Drosophila melanogaster: one gene and its partners. The protein of the gene in region 3 purifies or fractionates together with the protein of the main gene of each other region. This does not show direct contact. Each region holds a gene or a part of one and is shown on either strand. Other genes may lie near its edges.

Evidence for each region.
Region 1: the proteins of Yp2 (region 3) and CG16826 purify together in Drosophila melanogaster (affinity purification with mass spectrometry, with the first as the bait; one large-scale study listed by BioGRID). This does not show direct contact.
Region 2: the proteins of Yp2 (region 3) and CG34205 purify together in Drosophila melanogaster (affinity purification with mass spectrometry, with the first as the bait; one large-scale study listed by BioGRID). This does not show direct contact.
Region 4: the proteins of Yp2 (region 3) and CG5506 purify together in Drosophila melanogaster (affinity purification with mass spectrometry, with the first as the bait; one large-scale study listed by BioGRID). This does not show direct contact.

What each region holds. Positions count from the first base shown.
Region 1 is NT_033779.5:13,343,105-13,350,959, reverse strand, and holds CG16826 (uncharacterized protein), read right to left. Parts: upstream 3,188-7,855; 5' UTR 3,164-3,187; coding exon 2,138-3,163; 3' UTR 1,940-2,137; downstream 1-1,939. Other genes in the region: CG9395 (uncharacterized protein), read left to right, coding at 1-93.
Region 2 is NT_033778.4:22,126,786-22,134,781, reverse strand, and holds CG34205 (uncharacterized protein), read left to right. Parts: upstream 1-3,482; 5' UTR 3,483-3,571; coding exon 3,572-3,649; intron 3,650-3,814; coding exon 3,815-4,138; intron 4,139-4,201; coding exon 4,202-4,453; 3' UTR 4,454-4,668; downstream 4,669-7,996. Other genes in the region: NtR, read right to left, coding at 4,669-4,791, 4,852-5,018, 5,091-5,231, 5,297-5,828, 5,901-6,088, 6,157-6,309, 6,369-6,500, 6,606-6,927; GM130 (golgi matrix protein 130 kD), read left to right, coding at 7,420-7,476, 7,578-7,996.
Region 3 is NC_004354.4:10,048,161-10,056,538, forward strand, and holds Yp2 (yolk protein 2), read right to left. Parts: upstream 4,475-8,378; 5' UTR 4,424-4,474; coding exon 4,189-4,423; intron 4,121-4,188; coding exon 3,027-4,120; 3' UTR 2,791-3,026; downstream 1-2,790. Other genes in the region: Cht6 (chitinase 6), read left to right, coding at 1-337, 1,354-1,671, 1,732-2,255; Yp1 (yolk protein 1), read left to right, coding at 5,757-5,976, 6,054-7,153. UniProt on the Drosophila melanogaster protein: Vitellogenin is the major yolk protein of eggs where it is used as a food source during embryogenesis. Vitellogenins and their receptor yl/yolkless are required for maintenance of microtubule plus-end orientation towards the posterior pole of oocytes.
Region 4 is NT_037436.4:17,881,171-17,888,600, forward strand, and holds CG5506 (uncharacterized protein), read right to left. Parts: upstream 3,207-7,430; 5' UTR 3,176-3,206; coding exon 3,109-3,175; intron 3,042-3,108; coding exon 2,566-3,041; 3' UTR 2,479-2,565; downstream 1-2,478. Other genes in the region: CG7408 (uncharacterized protein), read left to right, coding at 1-300, 631-1,443; CG16775 (uncharacterized protein), read right to left, coding at 4,896-5,471.

The DNA of each region.
Region 1 (7,855 bases), on a different chromosome or scaffold from region 3:
ATTCCATCGGCCAATGTCCGCAAGAAACGGAAGCTGATTGTCTTTGAGATCAATGATTTGGGCGTGCCCGTGGCCAGGGTGGAGTACCAATGAGATATGGACATTGTTGGAAACATTTAAATTGGGGCATTTGGTTCATTTATGTGCCAATTAGTTTGAGAATTTAGTTGGTTGTGTTCCGGTGCGGTTTATCAACTTCATTTGGCCATCATCAGAATGCTCAACAAATTAACTGACCCTAAGTATTTAAGTATGTTCATTTGCTCACAGTAGGAATAAAAGGAACGCACTTACGAATCGAAGCAATAACACATGATTGTAGCTGTATGATCTCAAGCGAAAATCAAGTTGGTTGTTCAAAAAAAATATATTTTGAATTCCTCTACATAATGTTTGAGTCCTACGAAATATTTTCAGTTATATAAATTTTGAAACAAATATTTCATTGATATATTTTCCGATGAAACAAGGGATGAGAGACTTAAGAAATACTTAAACAATGCTAGATAGAAGCAACTACGAAATTATTATAATCACTAATCACTGTTTGGTTGTTCTCTTTAATTTGGAAAATATGCTTTCCCGATTTTGGTAGTCCTAATGCAAAATTATTCCTAAACAAAATTCAGTAAATTCCTAATGCGAAATTCATATGTAATCTAAGCCATTGTTTCGTGTTTTAGAGTAAGCAATAAGGTATACAAGAATGAAAGTAAGGCGTTGCATGCAGCAAAACAATGAATATGTATCGATATTTTGCCAGCGAACTGTTAGTGCAACATTATCAATTAGTAAGGCCGAAACTCCTCCGAGGTAAGCGCTCAGTCTATGAGTTAGTGGGCTGAAAAAGCTTGGGACATATTTACAGGTCCTTGTCTTTTGGCTTGTGCATGAGGCAGAAACGCAAAATGATAAGTTTAGTATTATCACGAAACTGAATCGAATTTCCAATGCTTCGAAATCTGTAAACTTTTTGTTTGGCTTAGCGCACAAAAAGTATAATCATTAAGTAAATAATAAACAGAAATCAGAAAAACAGATTTAGTGGTCTTTAGGTAATAAGAGGCAAATTCAGATACTAAAGAGATCTATTCAAACACATGAAGTCAATAAAATTGCAAGTAAGCAAACTAAGATAGAAAGCCTGCGTTTTATTTCAGCAAATATTTATTCTCGAGTGGTTCATTTAGTGCCCCCCTCGCAAAGTCATAAAGGGGAAATCGTACACGTGTTATACAGGGCGTATGAGCTATAAATGTAATTTACCCAGCTGTACGTTAGTTATGTATACATGGCGTATGAGCTATAAATGAGAATCAGATGTATGCTAGTTGAACGGAGCCATAATTTGAATATTATAGCAAATCTGTTATATTCGATATGAAATAACACATTTTCATTGAAAAATATAACAGCATAAAACTTTATAAACGCTGTACTACGCGCTTCGTGTCCTCTTCAATTGACTGTTATACAAAAGCACAAAAGTTCATTTTTATAGCAGTTGAGATTGTTAATTCAGTGTTATACCTTTCGTTACTGTTGTTATACAACTATTTATATTTATAGCAGCTGGGGAAGTCCTTTAAGGGGAATTCACTCAGTTCATTTGCATCATTTGTTAGTAGGGGAGGTGCTAAGAGTGCAAGTTAGTTTCTTTTTCCCTTTTTCTATATTATTTAGCACCCTTATTTAATTTACATATAAAGGCAGAATCGAATGCATTTAAATAATTAATCTACTAAAGCCTCGTGTCTTTAAATTGCCACGACTTTCGTGCCTTACCTAAATAAATGAATATGACAATTTTAAAATAATTGCTTTAGCATCCGCAAAAAATGTGCTGCACCATTGATGAAGTTAATCGGTATCTGGGTAATACGTTTGCGGTAGAGTAATTTTTAAAGTACTGTTCAAAGTTAAGAAATATTTTGAGAAGCTTGGCATAGTTTATTAAGAAACATCATTGATAAACGATGAAGGAAAACAATTTCTAATTTAGTTGCATTAGAGTAATTTATTTTGCTGCTTCTACCCGACACCTAAAATACACTATACGTTCTTGTAAATATTTCCATGAGGATTCGTCGTCATTGCTGGAGTTGTCATATTCATTACTGGATGACTCCCCGAAATCCTACGAACTTATGGTGGTCGTTTCATTATTAGAGCTAGAGTCGTCATCGGTGGAAGTCTGCTGCTCCTGGTACTCCGCAATGATCTCATCCAGCTTGCGCTCCACGCTGGGCTTCTCCAGCTCGTGCTCGGCCAGGGTCTGGCCCACACATCCGCTGGCATTCAGGCCGATGGCCAGTAGTCGGATGCCTTGAAGCTTCAGGGTGAGCAGCTCCGCGGGAGCCGAGTCGAGTCCGCGTAGTGCCTCATTGATGCCATTGCGGCAGGACAGGAAGCTGAGGTTGAACTGGACGCAGAGCTCGACTTGGTCCGTCAGTTCGTTGGTGGCATTGTGGTACTTTTCGATGGCCTCTTGGACATTTTGCTCAAACGTGGCTTGCTGCGCTTGCAACTCCTCCAGGCAGCTGTGCAGATATCCGGAATACCGGGAGAGTAGCTCATTTATGATCTCCTCGGCTTCCTCGTTGCCAACTCCATTCGTCAGCTTATCCACTCGTTCCAATTGGGCGTCAGACCATTGGTACCACTTCTTCTGGATTATGGCGAAATACTCTTGTTTCTTCTCGTCTATCCGATCATTGAGGTTATTCACGGCCACTTCCAGATCATTTACGACGGTATTGACGGTCTGCAGTCTGGCGAGAGCATCCTTAAGTGCCTCTCGCTGCAGGATGTTTCTCACCCGATCAATCCCCTGATGCAGTGCGTCGATCTGCGCCCTCAGAGTCGCGGAAAAGTCGACGATTGACTCAGTGGCGGCTCTATGAACTGCATCTGCGATTTTTTGGGCAAACTCCAGGGTTTCGTGCGTGTACTGGGCGGAGGAGTTCCTTATGCTGTCCAGGAACTCACCAGCAATGGCCGTGCCATTCCTGGTGGCATTCACGAATCCACTGATGATGTGCTGGCCAGTTTGGTTTATGGAGCCGAAGATTTCATCCAAGAATTCCGGATGCGGTGTGGCAACAACGCAGCTGGCGCTGATGGCCAGGGCGAGCAGGAGAACGGCTGACTTGGTCGAATGCATCGTCGGTCAACGGATAGCCTAATCATTCTGCACCCTGGACCACCTTTTATATATCTCGGCTACGTGCGCTTGGGCAAATACATTCGCTGACTATTTCAATATTGAAGCAGGCCGGCATTTTATTAAATTAGTTAATATTTAATCAGCCGCTTTCCATAATGAGCGAATAGTGGAATGCATGCTGGTTGGATAACTTTTCGAAGAAAGCTCTGTGCACATTTGTTTTACTGTACTTGGGGGCAATTAAAAAAAAAATTATTTTATGCATTCTCAGTGTTATGAGGACAATGATTTTCTTTATTCAAACACAACGTTATTTTTTTAATCACCGCAAAATACAGTACTCAATAAATAATTAACAACGCGAATATAAATATAACTTTTGCCTTGCATTTTCTTAAAATCCCCTCTCAAATCCACTCACTTAAAGCATGCTTATAATAAAAGCCCTTGGCTTAAACTATGAAAATAAATCAAATAAGTCAATTTCGCGTGCATTAAAACCGAAGGCTCTTTATGCGGGTCTCACACAATCGCAGGCAGGTGGTTATAGACCCACCCTGCCATTTGCACAAGGACAAAGGTTAAACTCTGCTTTAATTTTGAAATTTATATGCCTGCGAGACAAAGGAGCGCATGTTTACGCTCAGGTTAAACCCTTTTGTGGCGAACTTTATGCATAACTAACCGAACGAACTGGGTGGTTCTTTTTGGGGGGCGTGGCAGGACGTGCACATAATAATTGTCTTTAGCATGCCTTTATTATGACTTTAATTGTCGCTTGACAAACGTTGACACACAACGACATGAAATGCTCGCCAGGTATATGTATTGTATAAATGTATATACATTTGGAGATATGGAAAGTAGCTGGCATTGTGGGTGGCGAGGTGATGGGGTTGTGATGGCGTGGTGATGTGCCGAGGCCTTGAGCGACATGCACTATGAACATTTTATTAGTCTGCTGTTAGTTTTGTTTAATTATGCTGTCATTAACTTTGTCGCACAGCCACACGCCTAACTGCAAAACAAAAGCTTACATGTCTCAACGCAATTATAGCCGGAGTGGCCAACAAAGTGCTCCATGGACAAGGACAATGGGTTGGCGGAGCGATCCCGCACTCTTCTGGTTGCCATTTTTCCCAGCTATTTTTACACCCATCCACTCCACACCGCTGCAGTCTCCTCAATGCACAGACATTTAATTTTGCGTTTTCCACTAATTGGCTTGCATACTTGCCATATTCTCGCTTCGCTTAATTAATTTAATTAGAAATATGTTTCAGCTCAAAAGAAATTCAAACCTCAAAACCGTTTCAATAGCAATCAGTTCCGTTTAGCATATGATAATGATGTCGCAATTGCAATTACCTGTTTAAAGAAAGAGGTCGGGTCGGGTCGTATGGGCAGTAACTTGCCTTTGGCGGATCACGCTCATCATCGGCTCCATTTAGAGGACATCAGGTGTGGAGTGGGAGAGTCTGGTCCATTTAAGAAAAGCAATTCATGTGGGGAATTCGAGAAGCATGAGCTTAAATGCTAGCTCAAAAAAGTTTATGTAAGTGGGATTACATCACAAATATCACTTGACCTTAATAGAATATATTTGTCTTACACGTGATAAGTATTTTATTAAACTTAGTACCTTTTTTAATAGCTATTCTTTGAGCACTTAAAAGAGTGCTTAACTTTTTATTATTTTTTAAAAATAATAACTATGACTTATTGATATAAAATATGTTTGTAAACAAAGACGATCTGAAGAAGGGTATCCATTCAGCACATGGCCGTGCCATAACCTTTCCTTTATGCTTTTCTGCTGACCTCGGCAACCTCCATGAATGCCAGCAGGCTATGGACCAAGGAGCATGAAGGAAAATGGAAAAGGACCAGGATCAGGAGGATGCCTGAAACGATTCCATGCCGTTGCAATCGCGGCCATTAAGTCATTTTGTTTCCTGTAACATTTCCGGTATCTTTTTAGCGTCGTCGCCGCTTCGAGTACGGCGCTCTGGCAACTGCTGGAGGGGATTGGAGGAGGTCACAGGGCGGCGGATGGCTCCAAGTGCTGCTGATTGGGGGCGCGGCCACAGGTTCTGGGTGGTGGCGGTGTGGCAACAAATGCTTTTAAAGTAGATGATGGCGTCGGCTGGCGGGTCAATTTATTGCTTACCAAATGTGCTGCTGGCCCGGGTCCGAATGCAACTGAAACGCTCCAAATTGCAGCACGTAAAGTGTGCTCTGAAATTAACTTGGCCCCCCTTTCAGGCCTGCCTACGATAAGGAGAAATATAAATAAAAAATAAAAAATATGGGAAATAATGGCTGCATTAATGATGGCCATCGAGCTTTAGGGGCCTGCAGAATGTATTGCAGTTTCAGCGAAAAGTGGATGATAAAAGTTCGTTAATTCGTTTTTGCACATATGAGATTAAAATAATCCGAACAATCTTCCCACAGGTATTTTTTATAGTTTAAATATATCAATATTTTCTTCAGACTGTCCGGAAATATATATTATTTTCCCAATTCCGTGCACTTGCTTTACTTACAGAGCACAATAAATATAACTTTTCATGAAAATCAGAATGAAATACATAAAAGCACTGAGTGCACTTGCATATTTTCCTAAAATACCATTGCTCTAAGTGAGTGCAACGAGTGGAAAATTTTCGAGCGCATTATTTTGCATATGCAGGCGACCATGATGAGGGCCGTTTGGCTAAATCCTTTAGGACAAACAAATACATATACTTAACGCGCATAGCATTGCTCATACGCAGCGTGGCCCGACCAAAAGAAGCAGTGCGAGAATAGGAGCTGCCGTAGAAGGTTGCCCACTGTGTCCCGTGGCGCACATAGCAGCAGATTTAGTGCACCAGCTTTTATCTTGTCGCGCTCCTGGACGCTTTGGGGATCAGGTGGAGGCGCCAGGTGGCAGCAGTGTAGTCCACCGGAGTACATTTGTACATTTGTACATTTGTACAGTTGTTCAGAGGCGAGTGTACAAGTATGCGAGCATATGAGGTGGCCGGGCGCACTCTCGACTCCAACTGTAAACGTATCTCTGGCCATATCTGCTCCACCGTATCGCTCGGCACAATCCCATCAGCCCTGGCTAAATGTATAACAGCAGTCACTTAGCGCAGTGCCATCCTGCCATCCTGCCATTCTGCAAATCCAAACCACCAACCTACGGGCTGGGCAACATTGTATCTGTATGTGCGGTCGTTACTTCATTGGCACAATCCCCAGACTCGAAAATGCTCACCCATGCTGCCTGCATTGTTTTGCTGTGCATTTTATTTTATACATATAAAGCCTGCACTCTTTTTTTGCCACGTATTTTCTTTTAATGCGCTGCGGATTTGCAGTGAAATATATGCAAAGCGGGTGGTGGCCTGGGTGGCATATATGCCAGCATTCCCGCCCACTTGTGCCATCGTGGTTCCTGGTCTCTCTATCTACCGTCTCCCAGTTGGCCCAGCACTCTTATGCTAATTAAGTTTATGCTAATTTAACTTATTGCCACTAAGTTGGCCCACATATGCGGCCAGCCGCAGGAGCCATCACTTTATTCACCTGCCTTCGGCCGAGGCAAATTTCGGCAAGCGATCTGCTGACACAAAAGCTGGGAGTAAATTAATTCGTTAAATAAGAGGGAAATGTAGCTAATTTATATAATTAAAAGTAACTGTAATCATGTTGCTACTCCAAATGCTGCGGGGATTTTGGGCAGCTGCACGTTTAGTTTATTTATTCATTTAAATTAATTAATTGAAAGAAGATATATTTTTAGGTCACTTATTCGATCAACACATCCTAGTGATTTTGAACATATTCTAAGTTGCATATGTTTAGTATTGTCCATTTATAGAACTATAATATAATATTAATTACAGCACTTATAATTATTTTCATTAATTAATACATGTATGCACGAATATACAAATTAAATATTCAAATTGAAATTATTTATTGAATGTGTGTATTGTGAAGTAATTTTCGGGTGAGGTTCGAACACATTCCCCCCCTGCAAAAGTGAAAACCTTCCGTTTGCCAACGTTTTCTGCTGAACTTATTGTCTGATTTTTATGTAAATTGCATTTAAAGCAATAAATCTGTTTTAATCAGCCCACGAGTCCAGGCAGCTGAGCCGACGTGGTTGTCGAGTCTGCAGGACCTCCGATAGGCCTCCTGCATACATACATGTGGGCGTTTGTGTGCGTGCATCCTTCGAATCCTTTCGATGTGGGTGAGCCTGCGTTCGTATGTGACAAAAGCAAACGCATGGAGTGTGTGCAAGGGGATTTATTATTAAAAAATCTGCCCGATATATATGATTTTCCCCGTAGGCTCAACACGCCTATTGAAATTCGTTCATTAAATTGCAGAAAATGGAAAGTTGTGCACACACAAGTCGATCGATAATGTCGTTCGTAAGACAGTGATATAATAATAAGAAATTCAAATTATTCACAATACTCGAAGGTATCTCTTATTGCAAATGTATACATTCAAAAGCAAGTGGAGTTTCTTAGTTTATTAGCTCGTAATTTAAATCACTAGAAACCAACACCGTAATGGCTGGTAAAATTATATTATAGTACTTGCTCTGTGCAGGATACCTATCATAGCACTTAGAATCGATAGAGAGCAAAGTGTTTTGGCAAATTTTCAAAATCAACTTGC
Region 2 (7,996 bases), on a different chromosome or scaffold from region 3:
GCTGCTTGGGGTTTTAAGTTATTAGGCAACTTGAATTTCAAACTGCACTTGACAAACGCACAAATAAAGAAAAACAATCTTAAATGCGCAGTCAGTCACACAACTGCAGTGGACTTAATCAGTTAATAATCTAGGCTTAAAGGTTGATTTAATCACGGCTAAACTGGAAAAGGGGAGCAATCCTCAACAAACCGTGTTTAAAATTGGATTTAAGGTCAGTGTTCAGCGAAGTCCAATCCATCCATCCCACAAACATACATAGGTATTCCACCCACTTGCTCACCTGTTGAATTTCAAGGGGAGCATTTAACCCCTTTAAATCGCCGACACCCCAATGCTGTGGTTCGTGCATTGCTCATACGTCATTAACTTCAGTGACTTTGATCTATATTTATTTGAGTCTCTGGGTCTTTTTCTATGGAAACGTAGCGAAGGGCAATCGATTGAAGAAAAAAGAGTTGTATTGAATGATAAACTTGAATTGCTCATTCAATAGGATTCCATTCCATGTCGATGTTGAATGTTTTATATACATTTTTTAAAAAGGTTATATATACTACTATAAATCTAGCCAACAATATTATATTTTTTTTTGCAAATGTTAACTTATATTTCAAAACAAAGTTTGTAATACAAGTAAATTACATAAAACATAAAATATACATGACAGCTATCTACGTCCGCTGTCCTAAGCTACGCCATCTGTTGGTCATGAAAATTGAGCAGAACATCTGTTAGATGGCGCCACTAAGCCAAGCTTATCTTTAAGCTAAGACAGCGAAAAAGCTAGTTTTAAATTTAAGCTTACATCAAACCCGTTTCACCTTAGCGCAAACATTAAGAGCATTTTAAATTTAAATATTTTGTATTTTATTAAATATTATTTATTAATCACGCCATTTAACATACACAAATATCCATAGACAGGATCGTTATAGCCCGTTTTCCTCTATTTAATCAGCCCACTTTATCTGGACCATTACCATGGCAATAATCATTTCACAACCGACCGCCTCGACGCAGTCATCCCATAAATACACCACTTACCACCAATTCCTGTTGACGAAAAACAAACAAGAAGGCGACAAAATGGCCAGCAGTCTATGGAGTAGAAACAGTCATTGATTTGCAGTCAGTTGGGATTGCTAAATGCAAAATGGACTCGGAATACACAAAGAAAAAAATTAATTCATTTACAAGACCTCCAAATATGTATATATATATCATCACATGGAATTTTTCTGCTAGCTTAAAATATTATCCAAATTGTAATCGATTTTTAAGGGAATCATACATTTGAAAACAAATTCATCAAAGTTGGTGCGGTGCATTTCAAAAACTTCCAGTCACGTCAGCAGCGAGGCTCTAAGTTTGTCAGCTCCCAAAAGCTGAACTCCAAATCCATTTCCATGTCCACCACGATTCATTCATTAATTCAGGCAAAGCGTCATAAATGCCACGCGGTTTTTATTTGGTTTTTCAGGCTGGTTGATTTCGTCGTTTGTTTTTGATTTAATTAAGCGGCGCTTTTCCATTTTGCAATGTTTTTCTTGGCCGTTCCGCGAAGCATTTGCAAGTCAAATGCAGCGGCGTTAATTAATTGAATGGATCGAAAAATAACGCATACGCAGCGTGCGCCGCGAAGAATTCTGCGCTTGCGATCCATTGGGCAATCGCTTTGAATTCTCTCATCCATTCTGTGGCCAGTGGCTAATTAGGCCCGTCATCCAAAATTCGCGGCATTTTGCACCCATTTTGGAGCACACGCCGCCCGATCGCCAAATCCAAATGCGGCTAAAGACTCGCCTCTCGATCGAAGCCATAAAAACCAAGACGAGGATCGATCGGCTGATCGCCTTAAATCGTCATTTAGTATGTGGCAATTTGGCATTCGAGTTTGCCACCCTTCTGATCCACCGACCGATTGCTGGAAAATTGCTTTCCACCTGGCCAAAATGTGGGGCAGTGGCTGGGAAATCTTTTATTTATGAGGACCGGCGACACACCGACCACAACACACAACACCGATCTGTCCGCATCTGTCCGGATCGAATTGGACATGGAACACTTGTTTGGCAGTCGCCGACCACTGGCAACAATTGCTCCTATTGACTTAATATTTGCTAATAGAATTCACATAAATCACATTCCACTGGCATGCATGATTTATGCATGAACTGCGATCGCAGGTGACTCTCTGTCTCTTTTGCGGCGTTTCGTGCTGTCCTTTTCTCATTGTGCTAAGTTTTTTTTCGAGTTTTTTTTACGAGATTTCGGCGTTGAAGTGGTGTTTTCGAGACCTCTTGAGAGGAACTCCACTGAAGTGCTGCAAGTTGCATGCGCTAATCTGAGACATTATGTGCTTTCCAAACTTTAGTTTCTTAACCCTAATATATAAAGCAAGTATTTAAACACGGACTACCTTATTGTCTCAAAAAGTTATGTAAAGTCCACAAAAATATAAATCATTTAAGAAATGAATATATACACCATATCTATACTTAAAGCGAATAAGTGATATAATGATTACTTGAGACACTATTAATCCGTGATAAGGATCACGACGAGCATTCTCAACAATTTGTAGCATTATTAATTTTGTGATGACCCAATGTCACACCTCCGTACCCCCGCACATCCCGTGGGGTTAATCAAGTCGGCCATAAAAAATCCCACGAACTGCCAGATGCTGAACCGGCAATTTCAGCCGGCAAAGTCGATGGATCGATGGCGAGTTGAAGCTGGAGCTGGAGCTGGCGAACTGGGGCCTCCACTCGATCCAAACCCCCTCGCCACGCACGAGTGTCCTCGAGACGAGACGGCGTGGCTGCGGCTGAAATCACCCATCCAATATGGTCAAATGTGGCACGCAGCGGCATTCGAGGCACGATAAAGATAAATATGAAGCTCGCCTAGATATTTCGGCCAGAGGGGATTGCTGCTTGGTGTTTGGTTTTGGCGTTTGCCGATTTGGCAAGCGTTCATTATGCAATTTGGAGAGAATTTCCCAGCGCCACGCCGAGAATTGTTTCGAGAATACTCAAACATAGCAACGAAAACAATTAGACGGCATTCTACGTTGGCTAATTAAGTTGTTAGTGGCAAGGCTGCGTGCTTTCGAGGGGCGTGTCACCTGGCGCGTTGCCCAAATTGGCCAGCTAATCAGCGATTTCAATTAGCGTGCGCTTTCCAAATGCGAGCCACAATGGCACCCCCAGTGTAAAGACCGCCTTTCCTGCGGCGACTCCTTAGCCGGCAAGTGGTCTGCCTTCGGTTCGGAGCTCCCAACTCCCAGCTCCAGTTCAGGTTGCGTCATCCGCGTTTGGGGGCTCTCCAATCCGAGCTGCGTCTACGAGAATTGCAGTTTCACTGCAGCCGAGATACTTCACAAATTGGTGCTGCTTGGCCCGCTTTGTTGACTGCTGTCTGCTGACTGTTTGTCCGTCCGAGGCTCAGATCGAAATCTAGTCAAGATCTGTCCGCTCGACCACCTGTCCTCCGGTCCGCAGTTCGCAGTCCGCTCGAGAGTGCGAGTGCGTGGTCTGCCGTCGAGGGGTATAAAAGTAACGCAATGCACACGTCCACTTACAGTTGCAATTCTCCCTCCAAGCCAAGTGATTCGTTATCCAGCGCTAGCATGAAACTTCTGGTGAGTGGAAAGGGTTGGAAAGGATGCGGCCTAGGATCAGTATTATCACTTTAAGCCAATAATACTGACTGCAAAGGATATCTTCATACAAGGATTACCTCGATCTTATATTCACTAGATCAAAAAGATTAACATCAAAGTTTGGTTTTCCATTTACCTCGCCAGATCCTTACCTCTCTGCTGGCTGTGGCCACTGCTGCTCCTGGACTCCTTGATTATGGACACTCGGCTCCGGACTACAGCTACGCCCATGCCGCTCCTGCCATAACATATGCAGCTGCAGCTCCAGTCATCAAGTCCTACGCTGCCCCAGCCATCACCTATGCGGCTCCAGCTCCGGTGATCAAGTCCTATGCCGCTCCAGCCATCAGCTACGCCCATGCCGCTCCTGCCATCAGCTACGCCGCTCCCACGGTGGTCAAGTCCTATGCTGCTCCTGTGGCGGTCAAGGTGGCAGCTCCAGCCACCAGCTACTCGCACTTCAGCTCGGTAAGATCTGGATATACTCTGATATTTTCCCATTTAATCTTACAATCTACTTTGCATGCACAGGTTGTTTCCCATGCCACGCCCATTGTTAAGTCGTACGCTGCGCCTGCCATCGCCTATGCTGCTCCAGCTCCGGTGATCAAGTCCTATGCCGCTCCAGCCATCAGTTACGCCCATGCCGCTCCAGCCATCAGCTACGCTGCTCCCACGGTGGTCAAGTCATATGCGGCTCCAGCCATCAGCTACGCAGCTCCTGCCCTGGTTAAGTCATACGCTGCACCTGCCCTGTCCCTGGGTGGATACGGTTACCACTAAGCTCCGATACCAAAACACTCCAAATCCAAATCGATCCCGGATCGGAGTTGGAACAATGGCAGCAATTAACTGCGAGGAGTCGCAACAGCCCAGCACGCTCTCCCACTTTTTCAACTTGTAGTCGCAAAATCTTCACAATCTTCTCTGTTTACTTCTTATTTATTTAAGAACCATTAATATTCTCTCAAATGCACAATAAAGAAAAATTCTGTTTTTCAAAACCCACTCGTAATATCTACGATGGCAAAGGTTATAATGACCAAGATTGAACTCAGGTTGTTCAGGATCTTGGCCATATGGTGCCAGGGATTCTCCTGAATGTCGCAATAGTCGGTAGACTGTAGGAATATAGTGAATTGCAATACGTATATGTGTTCAATAGGGGCTTAACTACTCACATCCGAAAATCTCAATCCCAGAATGCATCGCAGAACATTGGAGTTAATCACCCTAACCAGCCAGCCAGGAGCCTTCGATCTGGGTGGATATAGATCCAGCCATATAATGCAGATGTGCAGAATGTAGCAATAGGTGGTGGTCATCATGATGACTTTATATGCAGTCACTGTAGGAAAAGTGAAAATTTGAATTTGAAAATTATACACAGTGAGTTTTAGTTAATTGATTTAAAACTTACTCATGGGCGGCACATAATGCGGAGAGGCGTAGCGCGTCATGTACATTAAACCCCAGGCGGCAATCAGCAAGGCGATGAGAATGAGGGAACTCCTACGAGTAGAACGCAGTACAAAGGACAAAATCAGGAACATCTGGCAGGCTGAAAGAATATATTGTAGTTATATGTTATTCCATAACAAGAAATCAAACACATTTTCATATTACCAATCAACGGCAAATAGAAGACGGTCATGTAGAAGCTCCGATTCCTTTGCAGCGTGAACTCAATTGCCACATCGCCGGTCATTTTCTGCATCATTCCCTTGGGGTTGTATCGCCTTTGCGAATCGTTCTCCACCAGCACCACGGACATTTGCGTGAACGACCAGCCGGATGGCGTGTTCACGTGCTCATTGGGCGCAATCGGCTTGCGCTGATCATCGTAGATTAGCGCCACATTCTCCTGCCCCTCCTGGCCATTGAGACCCAGCTCGATGTCGCAAGTCACTCGCTCGCTTGGCCAGTTTCGGGCACTGTCCACACACCAACTGGCCAGCTGGAGGTTTTGAGCGTACAGGGTGATGCTTCCGTTGGCGTAGACCATCAGCTCATAGGATTGGAGGACCTGACCCATGGATTGCAGGGCGCCGTTGAGGACGTTCATATGCGGCTTCCATATACGAAGGTCAGGATGTTCGAAAGATTCCAGCGAGCCGAAGTCCTCGGGTTTCCAGACAAGACGACTATCCCTCCAGTGCTGCATGGATAGGCGAATGTATCTTTACTGTTTCACACTAAATATTTGCATTTCGAGCTTATCTTTCATTACCATCATCATGTGCATGCGGGTCTGAAGCAAGGAACTGGTTTGCTCGTAGGCGAGGGAGCGCGTTTGGAAGTGGAACGATATGGAGCTGAGATTAGCCGGCATGCTTGCATTTTCCGCCTGGATATTCAGATGGCTTAGCAGTTTTTCCGTCTTCGTTTCCTCCTTCACTATCGGTGCAATTTCCGACCCTGAAATGGGTCAGTTTTAGAACATACTTACAGATATAGACTTATAGCTTACTATATATCATCCTTACCATAACCATCGAAGCCACAGTCGTAAAACCACCGCGCCGTATTGGAACCAAAGGAGCTGAAACTCAGATAGTTGATGACCAGCGGTGCTTCATCGATGAACTGCAGCAGGGGCTCCTTCTTGAAGCCGGGTATGTAAACAAACAGCTCGCCATCTGGAAATATACTGTGCGTTGGAGGGGCAGGGAATACCCGATAAGATGGGGGAACTCACTCTGGTTTTGGACAATCTCAATTGGCGTCGGGTCGTACAGCGATACCAAGTTCGGCTCTTGATTCGTGGCCACCCGCCTCATTCCCATAGCATTCCGGATTGCGGAAAACGTATTTCCGCCGGCTCCTATCACTGCAAGCGGAATAAAGATATCAATTGAATATTTAGGTAGGGTTCCACTAGAAAGAGCTCATTGAAATGCTGGAATTAAAACTGAATATTATTGATTTCACCCACCGATCTCGTAAACGCGATCATTTGGGCGCGGGTGATTCGTCACCGAGAGCAGGATGTGCGCATCCATGGCGGTCAGGACGTAGAATTTCAAGTGCAGCCGCTCTCCGGCCTTCCTGTTGTTGTTGCTCAGCTCGCGCAGCATGTAGAACCTCCGGTAGCCATAGCCCGTATTCGGAACGGAGTAGGTTTCGCAGGAATCCAGCTGGGCGAAGCTCACGTTGAATCTCGTTGACAGTTGTCCCGATTCCGCTGGGTCAATCAATATCAGTAGCAGGCACAGGCAGCAGTATGTTGCCAAGGAGCCCTTGATAAGGTTGTACATCGTATCGACCTGGACTTCTACTCCTCACAGCGGCTTAACTACGACTGAATTAGGAAGCCGACTTAAGTGAAGTGATAAGAAACGATGAACTAATGGTTGTTTCGATAAATAATACTGTTTTTTTTTTTTAATTTGAAGAGTATTTCTCAAAACCTCCTCGCATGAACGTTTATGCAAGTAGAGTGAAATTTCTTAATTGTACATAATCTCTGTTTATTGAAAACGGATACGCATATATACGTGTTCGATTTTAAAAATGAAAAAAAAGCTAAAAATGCGCGCCAATATATAACTGTGCTTTCCCTGCCGCCTAGTGTACCCGTTCGCGCGGCATTTTGGCTCTAAACGCGTACGGTCATACTGAACTTCAGACCTGTTATCAACATTCAGAAATTTCCACTTTTGCCTAGCTTAATTTACATTTGTTGGCTCGCCTTCCGAACCGAGCTTACTCCAGGTGTGGCAAAGGTACCGCTGCTGACCCCGAAGGACATGCCCGATGACACGCAGGATGCCAAGGCGCAGAAGTTGGCCGCGGCAAGGAAAAAGGTGCGACAACCAGTGCCACACACAATTGTTTTGCTCTTGTGACGTGGACACATATTGGCCGACTAATATTGATTTTGTTTAACACGCTTCTGTGGACACAGCTGAAGGAGTACCAGCAGCGCGCCAGCAACAACAATGGGCAGCCGGGAGCAGAGGAGCCGGTGGCTGCCACCACGCAATCGCACTCGTCCACTGTGAGCATATCCAGCAATCTGTCGGAACGGTCAGACAGCGAGATAAATGTGAACGGTGGAGGAGCAGGTGGGACGCAGCCGCCGGAGCAGTCTGCCCTGCCCACAGCCGCTTCTTATTTTGCCCAAAACGAGTCGGAACACAATGGTGGACTGGCAGATGCCTCTAGCTTGCAGGCCATCCAGGTGATCATCGCTGAAAAGGCCCAGCTCAATGCGGAGCTGACCAAGGTTCGCCTGGCTTGCCGGGAGCGTGAGCTAGAGCTGGAGGAGCTTCGCATCCTCAAGGATCAGAATCAATTGCGTCTGGAGCAGCTACAACAGCACTG
Region 3 (8,378 bases):
AGACCCTCCGCAACAGCAACAGCAGCAGCGGCAGCAGCAACAACGACCACTGCAGCAGCAACAACAGCTTTCCCAGCAGCAACATCTGCTCCCGGCGGCAGAACCACCAGCAACATTTACCTGAGCAAGCTGAAAGCCAAGAGCGGTGCCGCAGCAGCAGCAGCAGCATCCGGTGAGGCAGCAACACTGACGCCAGCAACTAGCAACATCAGCAGCAGCAGCAATGACATCACACAAAAGCAGCACAAGTTCCAGCCCGCCAGTTTTGCTCTGCGCCGCCAATTTCAAACGCGTCGGCTGACAACCTTCGCACCGGCGGCCAACGGCGATGAAAGTGGTAAGTAAACTTGGCATAAATTTAAATGCATTATCAAACAATAGGATAACGGTACGTACTTCATTACCAGCAACGAAGAAACTTGTCGAACTCGCCAAAGATTCATAACGAGCATTTTTAGCCAAGTTATGACGAAAATTCCGTTTGTAAATATCAACTTTTTGGCAAAATCCGTTTTTACCGAATTTCGGTCATAAAATAATCAGTTTTTTTGCCACAACTTTAAAAATAATTGTCTGAATATGGAATGTCATACCTCGTTGATTTCGTAATAAAATTCCCAATCGAACTGTATTCACAAATGGAAATTCTATTTTTTGGCCATTTTTTGCAAATTTTGATGATGTTACCCCTTACAAAAAATGCGAAAATTTACCCAAAAATTAATTTTCGAAAATCCTCCAGAAAGTGATAGGGATCGTTAGCATGGGTAATTAGCTGCTCAAAACAGTTATTCTTACATTTATATGACCATTTTTAGCCAAGTTATGACGAAAATTCCAATTGTAAATATCAAGATTTTGGCTAAATCCGTTTTTCCGAAATTCGGCCATCAAATAATCCGTTTTTTTTTGGCATAACTTTAAAAATAATTGCCTGAATATAGAATGTCATACCTCGTTGAGCTCGTAATAAAATTCCCAATCGAACTGTATTCACAAATGGAAATTCTATTTTTTGGTAATTTTTTGCAAATTTTGATGATGTTACCCCTTACAAAAAAGGCGAAAAATGACCCAAAAATTAAAATTCCTAATTTCTTCAAAAAGTGACAGGTACTACTAGTTAGTACTAGTAATTAGCTGCTCAAAAATGTTATTCTTACATCTTTACGATAATTTTAGGCCAAGTTATGATGAAAATAAGTTGTCATAAACATCTCAATTTTACCAACAATCCTGTTATTGCTTTTTCGCCTAATGAAATTATTTTGTTATCAAAATATTAAGCCATGAATTTTCTTAATTTTTTTTTTAAATTTCATATTTCATATTCTTATTATGTTTTCCCTTTAGCCACCGAGGTGCCCAGAACTCAGAACCCACTGTTCAAGCGCCGCCTCACCCTTATATCCACCACTCCGCCGTCCGCCCGCACCACCAACCCACCAGTTTCGGGCCTGGAAACCACCACCACTCTGTATTTGAACGACGACGACGAGGATCAGGTGGCCAAGTCGAGCATTCACACGAGCCGCTTCAACCAGATACCAGAGCAGGTGCGTCCACGAGAGGAATATGACTTGGCATTGCCAGCGCAGCCACTGAAGAGCACCAGCACCACAGTTAGCACCACTGCCAATGCACCACTACCAGTTATTGGCCAGGGAATCCGTAAGTGTATAACCATTGCATTGTTGTTTGTATTTGACTGGTTTTAACTTGTTACTGCAGGCCGTCAATTGATCCCACGTCCTCGTCGGCCGCAATCGACCACATCAACGCCCCCCACTACAACCACATCCGGTTCAACTTTGAGATCGACCACGTCGGCTGGACACTCGGCTCCTCCTCTCTCCCGTCGCCAGCAGAGTCGTCGTCGTCCGCACAAATACATCGAGGTCTACAGTCGTCCGCCGGCCAAGACTGCCGTAATCTCAGCCACGTCAAGTAGTCAATTTCTGGACGAGGGATTCCCGGTGGTTCACAGTCAGGTCGCCCAACGGCGTCGCAGTGGCAGTATTCTTCCGACCAAAAACGATCCCAAGGTGATCGTTCATGGTCATGGCATCATTGAGTGCCGGGCACAGGGAAATTTTCCGCATCCCCTCAACTGCAGGAAGTTTATATCCTGCGCCCGATTCGAGGAGACCGGTGGAATCGTTGGATGGGAGTACACCTGTCCCAAGGGACTAACCTACGACGGCGTCGGCGGCATGTGCACCTGGTCGCCCTCGGATCAGCCCTGCCGCGATTAGACTGATAGACAAACAAATCAAAAAAAAAAAACAAAAACAAAAACACAGCTCTAAATAAGCCTCTAAATCCATTAACCCATCTCATCTGGAGACCCATTCGCATCGATAAAAAGACCATCCATTCCCATTGCACCCCGTGTTGTATATGATTTTTCCAATTTGTGATTAGTTCTGATGAGGTTGTTGAAATCGAGACGATGAATATGAGTGAAGCAAGTTGAAATTCTACGTTAATTATTCTTATTTAAGCTTAGTGATATCTCAACCCAATTTTTTTGCGCCTGCCAATACAGTAGTAAGCAAGAAATATTGTCCGTAGTTCATCGTCCCATATATATAGCGCCATATCTATATATGTGGTTGTGCGTGTGTGTACGCTATATATCATAATGGATAATATGCTTTCTTTATCAAATAAACATATCATGTAATCCAAATGTTTGTTGTGTGCTTCTTTTATGACCTCAGTGGCATTGCATAATTTGGTTTTGGATATTTTTATATAATGAGCATTTAGAACTCTCAAATATTTCGACATAAGCAATTGTTTTTATTGTAAATTGAACTGGGGTTTTTTTCTGATATTGAACTGAACTCTTTAGAATGTTTAAAAATGCAAACGTTTTTTATTGTGAGTTAAAAAAACAAAGCTAACTAATCGTAGTGGATGCAACTGGCAGAGGGTTCTGCTGGATGAGGATGGGCTGGAGTGGTTCGCTCGCATGAGGGGTGTGCGATCTGGTTGTCATCGATGGATCACTGTGCGATGATCTACTGACGGCGGGAACCCTGGTTGGAGGAGGACTGGCGCCAGGGCTGGTGGACCTGGTGGTAGCCGGTCTGTTTCTGGGCGGGAGTGCTCCTGCCGAAGGGGCTCTTCGAGTTCACCTGCAGAATGTAATCGCCCTGCAGATCGAAATCGGTAGCGATGCCCATGTAGCCGCGCTTGCCATAGCCCTTGTTCTGCTTGTACTCCTGGTACGAGCTGGCGGCCACGGAGGGGAAGTTCCTCTCGTTTCCAGGACGCACGGACTCGGCGAAGTAGCGGGTGGCACGCATGGTGGCCTCAACGACATTATCGGCTCCGGGCACTCCGGTCGAGGGTCCGTTGGGGAAGAAGTCCACGTTGGCCAATCGCTGGCTGGTACCCATGCCGTAGGCGGAGGTGTGGATGGCATCAACGAAGTCAGCATCACCACGGGCCAGTCCGGTCAGCCTCTCCTCGGGCTTGCCGTAGATCTTAGTGGGGTCCAGGGCGGTGATGCGGCGCAACTTGTGTCCGGTCTGACGGGTGAACTGGCGTCCAGCCACTCCGGCAACGTGGGCAGCGGGTCCAGAGCCAATCAGATGGATAATCTCTTGGGGCACGTTCACGGTGTTGGTCAGCTCAACCAGACGGTTGCCAATGATCTCGCCCAGACGCTCAATGTTCAGGGTGGCGTACTGCTCAAAGTCCTCGATGGCATTGCCCAGCTGAATCACAATCAGGTCTCCGGTCTTGGTATCATCCTGTTCACCGTTCTGCTTCCTGCGCTGCGTTTGCTGCTCCTCGCTGGAACTCCTCTGGCTCTGCTCCTCGTTGGAGTAGTCGGTGGTCTCATAGGGCTGGAGGTTGTAACGCTGCTGGTAGGCCTGCACCAGCTTCCTGGTAGCCTTCTGCACTTGGGTGTTGGTCTCGGGCAGGCCCTGGATGAAGATGGTGACCTCATCGTCGCCGAACTTCTGCTGGCGCTTAACCTTCTCCACCAAAGTGTTCAGGTTGAACTCGATCTTCTGGCCGCGCTCGCCGACAATGTAGCCCCTGATCTGGCTGGGTTCCGGGGTGTAATCGGGCTTGAAGACATGGTTGAACTGGGACAGATGGTCTGCGGGATAGGATAGTGCGTGTAAATATAACATGATTGGTAGAACTTTTAGAGATCCTTGAACTTACAGAGCTTGTCCAACAGCGTAGCGCCCTCCTCCAGGCTCATCTCCTGCAGCTTCTTAAGGGTAACCTCCTTCAGGTTGGGCAGCTCCTCGACTTCACGTGGATTGACCCAGTTGCTGGGCTGCTCCACATTGTCCAGGGAGTTGGATCGGCGACCGGAACGGTTACCAGATTGGGGATTACCCATGGCGACCGCCAGAAGGCAGGCCATAACGCAAAGGGTGCGCAGAGGATTCATTGTGGCTTCCAAGTTCGACTTTTTCAGACACCGTACCAAATTGTACTGCATACCCACTGCTGCGACTCAATGCATTTTATACCCCTTGGAATCGGTAGTCTATACACACTATAATGCACGCGCCGGAAGCAATTGATTTCAGCAACCGATTTCTGGATCAGCACAAATGCATTGATTCGCAGCGTCAGTGATTTTGCAACACTTCTGATGAGCTCTAAAATTTCGTTCCCCTTTTTTTTTTTTTTTTTTGGTTATTAAGTATCCATCGGGTAACAGGTAATGGGAAACTTCTTTAACCAGCACTTTCATAACATAAACAAAAGGTGGTCTGGCCATTAAGGGGCTTGACAGTGGGGGCACGACTTGAACTCATGCACAGGTCAAGATAAAGCTTTTGTTTGAAAAAAATATTTGGCAATTTTGTGAAATTTATGCAACTATTTAAGTGTTTGCCAAAAGAATTGTCTAAATTGTTCTATAAGCAGATAGCACTTTCAGGGAAATGCAAAATAAATATATTATAAATTATAATATTATAAATATAAATATTTACATCTATCGAAATATACATATATTTTTAATAAGTAGAATGAGTTACATGAAATAGCATCGATAAGATCATATATTATAAAACGAATCCCGGATATTAAAATAGAATCTCCTTGAAAAACGTTCCCCTGAATCAATTCATTTCTAAAGTCCAAAAACAAATATAATCTTACTATCTTGCCTTGGAAACTACAAACATTCCATACTTTTCGTATCAATGGCAAACATCTAGGAATCAATGAACTGTATCGGCCTTGAATTGAAAATGCAAAATTATGGACTTTTAATTAAGCAGAAGAAAAGTGCCAAATATAAATCTACTTATAAACAAAAAAAATCAATAAAATGTTGTATATAATAACCAACTAATGCCCATGTTAGATCTATATTTTATGCATTTATTTGATCAAATCCGGTGCACAACTACAATGTTGCAATCAGCGGAGCCTACAAAGTGATTACAAATTAAAATAATCAGGCGGCAGCAGGTGCTGCTAAGTCATCAGTGGGGTCAGCTATAGGTAGGCCCCGTGTCTATTTTGTATGTATACAATTTATTCCGCTATCGATAGCATATACACTCATCCGATTCCCAGGCACCCGAAAACCCTTACTCAGCACAAGTGACCGATTAAGGCCTGAGCCAGCGAAAAGCGAGTCAGAAAATGGGAAATCGCTCAGCGCAAATTGTGGTATATAAACCACCATCGTTGGATTTGGAAGGCCAGTTCAACTCACTCAGTGTTGAAGTCGCATCCGCAGGACCAAATCCCAAATCCGAACCATGAACCCCATGAGAGTGCTGAGCCTTCTGGCTTGCTTGGCGGTCGCCGCCTTGGCCAAGCCCAATGGCCGTATGGACAACTCCGTCAACCAGGCATTGAAGCCGTCGCAGTGGCTCTCCGGATCCCAGCTGGAGGCCATTCCCGCCCTCGACGATTTCACCATTGAGCGTCTGGAGAACATGAACCTGGAGCGTGGCGCCGAGCTGCTGCAGCAAGTCTGTGAGTAATCCTAGATGCAGATAAAAAAAAAAAAAAAAAACATCGAATATTCTATGGAATATATATATCCTTTGTAGACCACCTGTCGCAGATCCACCACAACGTTGAGCCCAACTATGTGCCCAGCGGCATCCAGGTCTATGTGCCCAAGCCCAATGGTGACAAGACCGTTGCTCCCCTGAACGAGATGATCCAGCGCCTGAAGCAGAAGCAGAACTTTGGTGAGGATGAGGTGACCATCATTGTGACCGGACTGCCCCAGACCAGCGAGACCGTGAAGAAGGCGACCAGGAAGCTGGTTCAGGCTTACATGCAGCGCTACAATCTGCAGCAGCAGCGCCAGCACGGCAAGAACGGCAACCAGGACTACCAGGATCAGAGCAACGAACAGAGGAAGAACCAGAGGACCAGCAGCGAGGAGGACTACAGCGAGGAGGTTAAGAACGCCAAGACCCAAAGCGGCGACATCATTGTGATCGATTTGGGCTCCAAGCTGAACACCTATGAGCGTTATGCCATGCTCGACATTGAGAAGACCGGCGCCAAGATCGGCAAGTGGATCGTCCAGATGGTCAACGAGTTGGACATGCCCTTCGATACCATTCACCTGATTGGCCAGAATGTGGGTGCCCATGTTGCCGGTGCCGCTGCCCAGGAATTCACCCGTCTCACCGGACACAAGCTGCGCCGTGTCACCGGTCTGGATCCCTCCAAGATCGTGGCCAAGAGCAAGAACACCCTGACCGGTCTGGCTCGCGGTGATGCTGAATTCGTTGACGCCATCCACACCTCGGTCTACGGCATGGGCACCCCCATCCGCTCCGGTGATGTTGACTTCTATCCCAATGGACCTGCCGCCGGTGTTCCCGGAGCCAGCAACGTGGTGGAGGCCGCCATGCGTGCCACCCGCTACTTCGCCGAGTCCGTGCGTCCCGGAAACGAGAGGAGCTTCCCCGCCGTGCCAGCCAACTCCCTGCAGCAGTACAAGCAGAACGATGGATTCGGCAAGCGTGCCTACATGGGCATCGATACCGCTCACGATCTCGAGGGTGACTACATTCTGCAGGTGAACCCCAAGTCTCCTTTCGGCCGCAACGCACCCGCCCAGAAGCAGAGCAGCTACCACGGTGTCCACCAGGCGTGGAACACCAACCAGGACAGCAAGGACTACCAGTAAGGATGAGTCTGCTTACTCTGGACACCTGGAATGGCAACTACCAAACAACAAACAACCACCCAACCACACAAACACTGTAGTCCCTAAGTTGAACCCATATTGGCCCTTTTCTTGAGATTACCTAAACATTTAACGAGCACATCGCGAAATTCAGCAAATAAACGCTCGATAAAGAGCTTAAAAATATCTATTTTGTTTATCTTAAATCATTTAGGAACTATAATAGTCTAATAGATCATCCCAAAAAAAAGGGAACAAAATCAAAAGTAAATATCGTAGTTTGGTTTTGTAAACTTAGATTTATTTTATTGTTGTCGGTGTTTTTGTGGTGTTGAGGTCTAATCTTCTCCACTTATGGCTTGGGCTCAGATTAGAAAATAATTTGTTTACGGTAATTTGGGGGGAGTATTGCTCATGGGAGGCTGGCGTTATAACAATAAACCTCAACATGAAGCGATAACAATTAGAAATACAGCCAAGAGTTTAGGATCAGGGCTTAGGCGAGAGACTTTTGCTTATTTAAACTTCCACCTATTTAAATAGGATGTTTCCATCTTCTGATTTTTAGTTTCAATCTTCGCTTAGTTAAGTGCACATTCCGAATTGTTAGAAATATTAATACTATATACTTGTTGGTAGCTCTAGCATATCAATGCAAAATATTGTTGGAACCAAGGAGTTCGGGCCAAGTTGGGCCACAAAAATATTGGTAAAAGCGCAGGCCAAAGTGTCTTAAATATTAACTACAGTCTTTCTTAAGATACCCACTCGCTATCTTTATGTACATTCCACACATTTTGTGATCGTTCTCACTATATATATATATATTTTTTTTTTGCTTCGGTATATTCACAATATTCGCTTGTTTAAAATTAGTTTTGATTTATCTTTTATAACAATTTCATTGTTTAGATTTTGTTTACTGTGAGTGGAAGCAATTTTTATTTTCATTTCTTTGAATATTTGGTTTTCAGGCTACTTTAACTACGTTAATAAATATTCCTATATCATATCATAATCAATTTATTTAGCTTTGAGGCCGAACTAAAGCACAAGGCATTTTGCCGTTTATTTAAAATGTTTATCAAACGTTTTTCACGGTTTTAAATATATATATATATATATATTTATATATCTATATATAGATCGTTTGGTGCGCTCTACAGTGCAAAATATTTGCTCAATTATAAAATTGTTTCACAGTTTGTTAAATCTTTACAACGGA
Region 4 (7,430 bases), on a different chromosome or scaffold from region 3:
AAAAATAGTAGCCAGCCCCTGTTTCTGCTTTTGAATCATCTGGCTCCACATGCTGCAAATGATGATGATCCCATGCAGGCACCAGCAGAGGAGGTGTCCCGATTTGAATACATTAGCAATAAAACCCATCGTTACTACGCCGCCATGGTTTCCAGACTGGATAAAAGTGTGGGATCTGTAATCGACGCCCTAGCCAGACAGGAAATGCTCCAAAACAGCATCATACTCTTTCTATCCGATAATGGTGGGCCAACACAGGGACAACACTCTACCACTGCCTCTAATTACCCACTGAGGGGGGTAAGTCATGCTATTTGATATTTATGTATAAGCTAAAACTACGTATAAACATAAAACGACTACGGACTGAACTAATTTAATTTCATTATAAAACTTGTACTACTTTTTTTTTCAATAATTGAACACAATGTCAATGTCATTACCGTTAATCGTAGATAAAACTAAATTTGTTTAACAAATGTAAGAAGTGGATATATCGTTTGTAATCTGCCCATGTCCGTTGTTAACTATTTATAAATACTAAAACACCCAAAACGTTCATGCAAACACTTTTGGAACATGTTCCTTTTTGATATTTAGTTCGCTGATTATAATCAATTTATATTTTAGCAAAAGAATTCCCCCTGGGAGGGTGCTCTGCGATCCTCAGCGGCCATTTGGAGCACTGAGTTCGAGCGGCTGGGAAGTGTTTGGAAGCAGCAGATCTATATTGGCGACCTTTTGCCCACGTTGGCGGCAGCAGCCGGAATATCCCCGGATCCGGCGCTCCATTTGGACGGATTGAACCTGTGGTCTGCCCTCAAGTACGGATACGAGTCGGTAGAACGGGAGATTGTCCATGTGATTGATGAGGACGTGGCGGAGCCGCATTTGTCCTATACGCGTGGAAAGTGGAAGGTGATTAGCGGCACTACCAATCAGGGTCTCTACGACGGCTGGCTTGGTCATAGGGAAACCAGTGAAGTGGATCCTCGCGCAGTGGAATACGAAGAACTCGTTCGGAATACCAGTGTCTGGCTGCAGTTGCAGCAGGTGTCATTCGGAGAGCGCAACATCAGCGAACTAAGAGATCAGAGCAGGATCGAATGCCCAGATCCTGCGACAGGAGTCAAGCCCTGCTTGCCTCTCGAGGGACCCTGTCTCTTCGATATTGAGGCTGATCCCTGCGAGCGGAGCAACCTATATGCGGAGTATCAAAACTCGACAATCTTTCTGGATCTTTGGTCGCGAATCCAGCAATTTGCCAAACAGGCACATCCTCCCAATAACAAGCCGGGGGATCCCAATTGCGATCCACGATTTTACCATAATGAGTGGACTTGGTGGCAGGACGAGAAGGCTTCCAGTTCAGGGACTATCGGGGTAATGAAAGTCTTTACCCTGTTAGTGGTATTCATCTTCACGAGCAGTTGTATTAATTAAATGAAAATTCTTATGTAGGTTAAATATTTAATGATCTTGTTAGCAAAGTTGGCATGTATTCAAAAAATTAATAAAAACTTCGTCTAAGGAAAATAGACAATTTTATATTTTATTATTTAACCAATTGGCTTGTGGCCGTAACTCATAGTAAACCGATAGCTTTTCTGCAACAAATGCGATAATTTATGACTTCAATTCTACCTATCAATAACCATTTCTGAGTACTGTCCAATTTGATCCGGTGTCAAAAGGCCAATCTCCCTTTTTATCTAATCGATTACTTCTGCGAAAACTGATAGTTGCAAAACCCCCTTCAAATTAAATTAAAGCACAGCCAAATAGCTTTCTGCCAATCAAAGTGGCTTACATAGTATTTAACCAAAATAGTTTACGACACTGAAATCAAGGCAAGATCTTTGGTTACAGATTAAATACCATAATCAATCAACTGTTCTATCTATCAAAAAAGACATTATGGACTTACTTTGTTCGTCAAAATGAACTAAGAGTAAAAAAAACGTACGAAAGTTAAAACCTTTAAAATGTATATACATTTTCTTGTCCATAGCAGCATGTAGAACAGAAAATTACGATGAGTTCATAATAAAATATGAATTTAAAAGAAATTTCGAGTTAAGAAATAGTTGTCCTTCCAAAAAGGCATTTTTAAAAAATTACCAATCTCAATTTTCGCTTTAGGCATAAAGTTTTATTTTAATGGCAGTTTTATTTTTATTTTATTTTAATTTTTCTATAAATGTCATGGAATATAAATATGATATAAAAATTGTTGGGGACGAATTAATAATTTTGATGTGAAAGGAGACGTCTTTCTTTGCCAGAAATATGAATGTATTAAGAAATTTGTGAAAAACATCATCTGCCTGAGAATCATATTTTATAAAACTAGTCTGTTTATAAAAATTAAGTGTTTCAAAGTCAATCCATTTACTGAACTATATATGTTAATAAGATTTGATGCATATCAAAAAATTGAATAAGTGCGATTCCGTGAATTACAAAATAAATATAATTACTTGAAATAAATTATGTTTTATTTATTTTTTAAGGGAGCCGGGATATCAAAGGAACTTAATTCAGACAAAGATCTAGTAGTAGAATTTAGTAGTATGTTCCATTGCCTTTAGGCTGGGCCACCAGAACTTCATATTTGTCGAACTTTCGCAGGGCCAAGCTCTCGTGCTTGATGATGCACACCTTCTGGCTGCTAAGGAGCAGGGTGCCGATTAGGATGCCTCCATCGGTCTTAGCACGGCAGCAGAACACCCGCTCATTTTTGACCGTCGTGCCCACGGCAACGGCTCCCTTTTCATAGAATCCATCGAAGCTCCTGACCCACACGTAATTTACATCCCGCTCAGCCACTAGGATGTCGTAGACGAGGAGCTTCGAGGATGTGGTTTCCGTATTGAAGTAAGCAGTACCAGTTTCCGCAACAACTCGAGCCGGCAGGATGCTATTGGAGTACTTAACACGACCAACATAGGTGGTAAATCCGTAGGGATCGAAGCCACCCACAACGGCATTATAGGGAATAACGTAGGACAGGTTACCAGCCTTCCACACGTGCTCGGTATCTGTTCGAAATGGCTATGTTAATTGGATTCAGTTAACCCTCTATATTATATTATTATTGGTTCTCACCATAAGTCGAGGGAACCGCGTAGGCAACTGCAAACAGGGCCAAAACTACACAGACAAGTTTGTACATCTTGACGGACTGCTGGATTCACTTTGAGTGTCTGGCCAGTGACTTAACTGCTTTTATAGTCGTCTTCTTATCTTTCGACTCCAATTACACTTATCGCTATCAAAAGATTGGTATTGATAGCATCTGTTTCGGTGACTAACGCATCGTTGTTTTATTGCACCCTTTCAAAGTAAGAGAAATTTAAAGAAAAAATCCCCCTAAGTCATTTCATAATATTGAGCTATAACTTAGTTGTTAAACATAAAATGATTTAAAATATATTTAATTAGGAACTTTAATATATTTATTTTGTTGTTTGTTCATACAATGAGCAACTAAAAACTTTTGTTTTAAAACCAATATTAGTAAAGAGCATAGCCATCGAAATATCCCTCTCGTTTGAATCAAAAAAAAGTTTGTATGCTCTTCAAGTTGGTCAAAATTAGTCTGATATAAATAAACTAAAAATTATAAGTTTTACTTTAATATATTTTGAATAAAACAATATTAGAGAACAATTTTTTTTAATTTCCCATGACATACAGGTTTTACAAGACGAAAGATCGTGTCATACAATCAACATTTTCCCCTATGGAATATCTTATATCGCACTTCTTTAATATATAATAAAATTTTAAGTTGGTATATATTTCAATTAGCTTAGTGAAATATTCATGTAATTTCCTTTCCTTATATAAAAATCAAAGTTGTCATCTTATCTAACATGATAAATCAATTAAGAACGCAAAAGACTATTTTCTGATAAAGAGTTATAGATTTTATTTGCTTGCATTCAGTATACATACAATGTATTTACAGAGCGAATGGCATGAACGAAGCCACTTGGCGTTGCCTGATCAGTATCTCGTACTTGTATTACTCGTACTCGTATTTGAGAATGCACCCTCTTTTCGAAGGCTACAGCGTTTCTATGAAGACGCCTTCAGCGCAAAGTTAGCCTCGTCCGTGTTGAAGTGGGCCCTAACCAATTCCGGGACCATTCGGGCAGGCAGGACATTATTGAGGACATTATAGTACACACGGCCGACGTAGTTCATGTAGCCAGCACTGCTTCGTCCAGCAGATCCTTCGTCCTGTCGGCAAGGATCTATTTGTCTTCACTGCTATATACTGCTCCCCTGATAAGGGTCACCAAATGAACTAGGACTACGGCCACAATTATCAAGCCCTTGTAGCAGTACATTCTTGAACTGTTGACTAGGAAGATATCTTGAAGTGACTAGAATCTGCAAGTCTGATATCAACTTTCTAGCTTTTATAGTTCCCGAGATTACCATGTTCATACAGACAAACGTACGGACAGTCGGATATGGCTTGAATGACCCGTCTAGTGATCCTGATCGAAACTATATATACTTTGTTGGGTTGAAAAAGCTTCCATCCACTTGTTATATCATTGTCAATCAATCAAAATCAAGTAAATGCGTTTACTCTACGAGTATAATTAAGTAATTAATTTAACAAAGGAATAAATAGTTACAGTTACAAAAAAATTGAAAATAGGAATTCACATAATTTCTTCTTTGGATTTATCAAAAACTTAAACACAGTTATTCTGTTTTTCTACCTCTTTTAAATTAAGAAAAAAGAATAGGAAACTTTGCTTTTATATTAATTATTTTTATTAATTCAAAGTCATTAAATAAATTGAAAGGAATTGTTTTTTTTTAATAAATATTTTGTATTTATATTTTATTCTATTTATTTTGTTGCTCAGCATTTAATGGTGGATATAACCATCAACAAATGGCGAGACGGCAGCTACATGGCGTTCGCGGACAAGGATCTCGTACTTGTCGAACTGCCGGAGCGGAAAGTTGTCGTACTTGACGATGCACATCCGCTTGGAAAGGTACAGAGTGCCGATAAAGATGGATTCATCACAGCGGACACGACAGATGAAGACACGCTCGCTGAGGGCGTTGGTTCCCACAGATACGGCGTTCTTTTCCCGGAAACCATCGAAACTACGGATCCAATGGTAGCCGACAGTGGCGTTGGACACCAGAACCTCGTAGGTGGTGGCTTGGTTGCCCAAGGTGTCGGTGTTGTAGGTGGCCTTTCCCAGCTCCGGTACCACTCGGGCTGGCAGAATGTTACTGCTGTATGTGACACGACCCACGTAGGTGTAGTAACCATCGGGATCGACGCCACCGAGAATCGCTTCCTCTGGAAGGTCCAGGGTCTTGTCCAGGTACACCCACTTGTCCTCATAGCTGTAGACTCCTCCGTGGATTTGAGCCACCATCTGGACGAGGACTACGGCCACAATTGCAGAACTCTTGGCTGAGAACATGATTCGATTGTTGAGAGGCGGGGTGTTGTGGACATTTCGAGCTGCTAACATCTTTTATAGGTCTTTCTTATCTATAGATTGATAGTAAATCATTCTTCGAGGAGTAACTTTGTGATTAGATTGTTAGTAACTTTTTTAGATCGGTGATTAACAATTAAAGTTCTGTGGTCAGTTACAGGGAAGATCTTTAAACTTTTGCAAAACCCCCGCTAAAAAATTTCCCCTAAAAATAGACCGAATTCACTAGTGATCCTGACCAAAGACTCTTATAGGGCTGAAAATGATTTACTCAACCAGTTAAATTATTTTAAACAAATGTGGTGGTACACCGTCTTACTCAATGAGTAACTTCCTAAATTGTGTACATTAAATTGTGTATTCAAGGAAAACAGCTTTTCAGTAGCTTGCTTTAGATGAAACCTATTTAAATGATGTTTTCCACTCTATTATCTACGTATATCGCTTAAACGGAAATCTAATTTTTCAGAATAAAGTTCTTGGCGAAATGGTTTAATTTAATCGTATCCGAAAAATAAAGAGTGGTTTTTATTTAGCAAGTTCTAATATGTTAAATATTTATGTGAATTGGCCAACCTTCCAAAATTGGCACGCATATGGGTAAGGCCAAAATCGTCAGGCCAAATCAAAGGCAGGAATACTAATCAACTCAATTGGTGATATTCAAACCAGTTTGTGGGTTTATCAACATAGCCGTCTTATCAAAGAACGTGGTACAAGAACCCTGACCTAAGTCAACTATCGTAATAATACAGCTTAAAACAAAACTTGGCTCATATTTTTCTCGCAATCTTACTCGATCCCTTCAAAAGTTCGTTAAACTTTGAATTGTGCCTTTGCAAAAGACACATTTTGGTTTTGCTGTTATGGCGGTTGGTTTTGCTTTTGCACGATTATTTCTGTTGCTGTTTTATAGCAGTAAGCTATAACTTTTACTACTATTTTTCGCGCACGCTTCGTGACGTCACAGTCGTCGGAGTCGGCGAAAACGTTGTCCACTTTAAAAGCGCCAAAATCCAGCGAAGCGTTTAGTCGAGTGGAGAAGTCGCTGGGAGAAGGATCGTCGACGATCACATTTCATCGCTGAACCATTCAGCTAAAATCCGCTGATTTAAGTGTTTAAAATTTAGTGTAAGATGCTAAGACAGTTGAAAAACCCCGCGTTCGGAAAGTTCAAGTATTCTTTTTAATTAATAGGATTAAAATAAGTAAATGTGATCACACCAAGTGCAGTGATTTATGCAAGATCATTTTTTAAGTCGAACACCGTAATCTTAATAATAACTAATAATATTTACAATAGTTTAAAGTTTTTATTTATACTCATTGCAAAGCATCAACTAATTATATATACGACATTTCATTTAGCATTGAGCTCTGAACCAGTTTTTTTTTTCTAATATGGTAATCACAGCTCTATCTGAATTGAAACCGCTCTTGCTTTAATGAAGTCATTATAAAAAAAATATTTTTTAAGTGAAATGAAAAGCACTCGAAAAAACAAATTACTTTATGGTTACCGAAGAGGTTCAATAAAAAAATTTTAACGATTACGTTAAGAACCACTTTCTTGAAGCGCATATAAGGACCGTTATATTCACAATTTCTTAATTTATTATAGCAACATGAATTCAACAATTTGAAGATAGCATTATAATTGGCTAAAGAAAAATGTTGTTGAACATAACTATAAGTTGGTTTTAGTATAGGATCGACAAAATCCTTAAACTTTTCAATCGCGAACATTTTTCCACTAAAACTTGTTTCGATCGGATCAGTCGGAGGCAGTTGTGGGGTCTTTATACTTAAGAACCTTTCCAATAACGACCGATTAACTTGATCTTAATTGCATCACAAGTGTTTTATCAAGGTCACGATATTAACAACCTGTGAAGGTCACCTCCTACCCGCTGGGCGTTCCCATTCTCAATTACACATGTA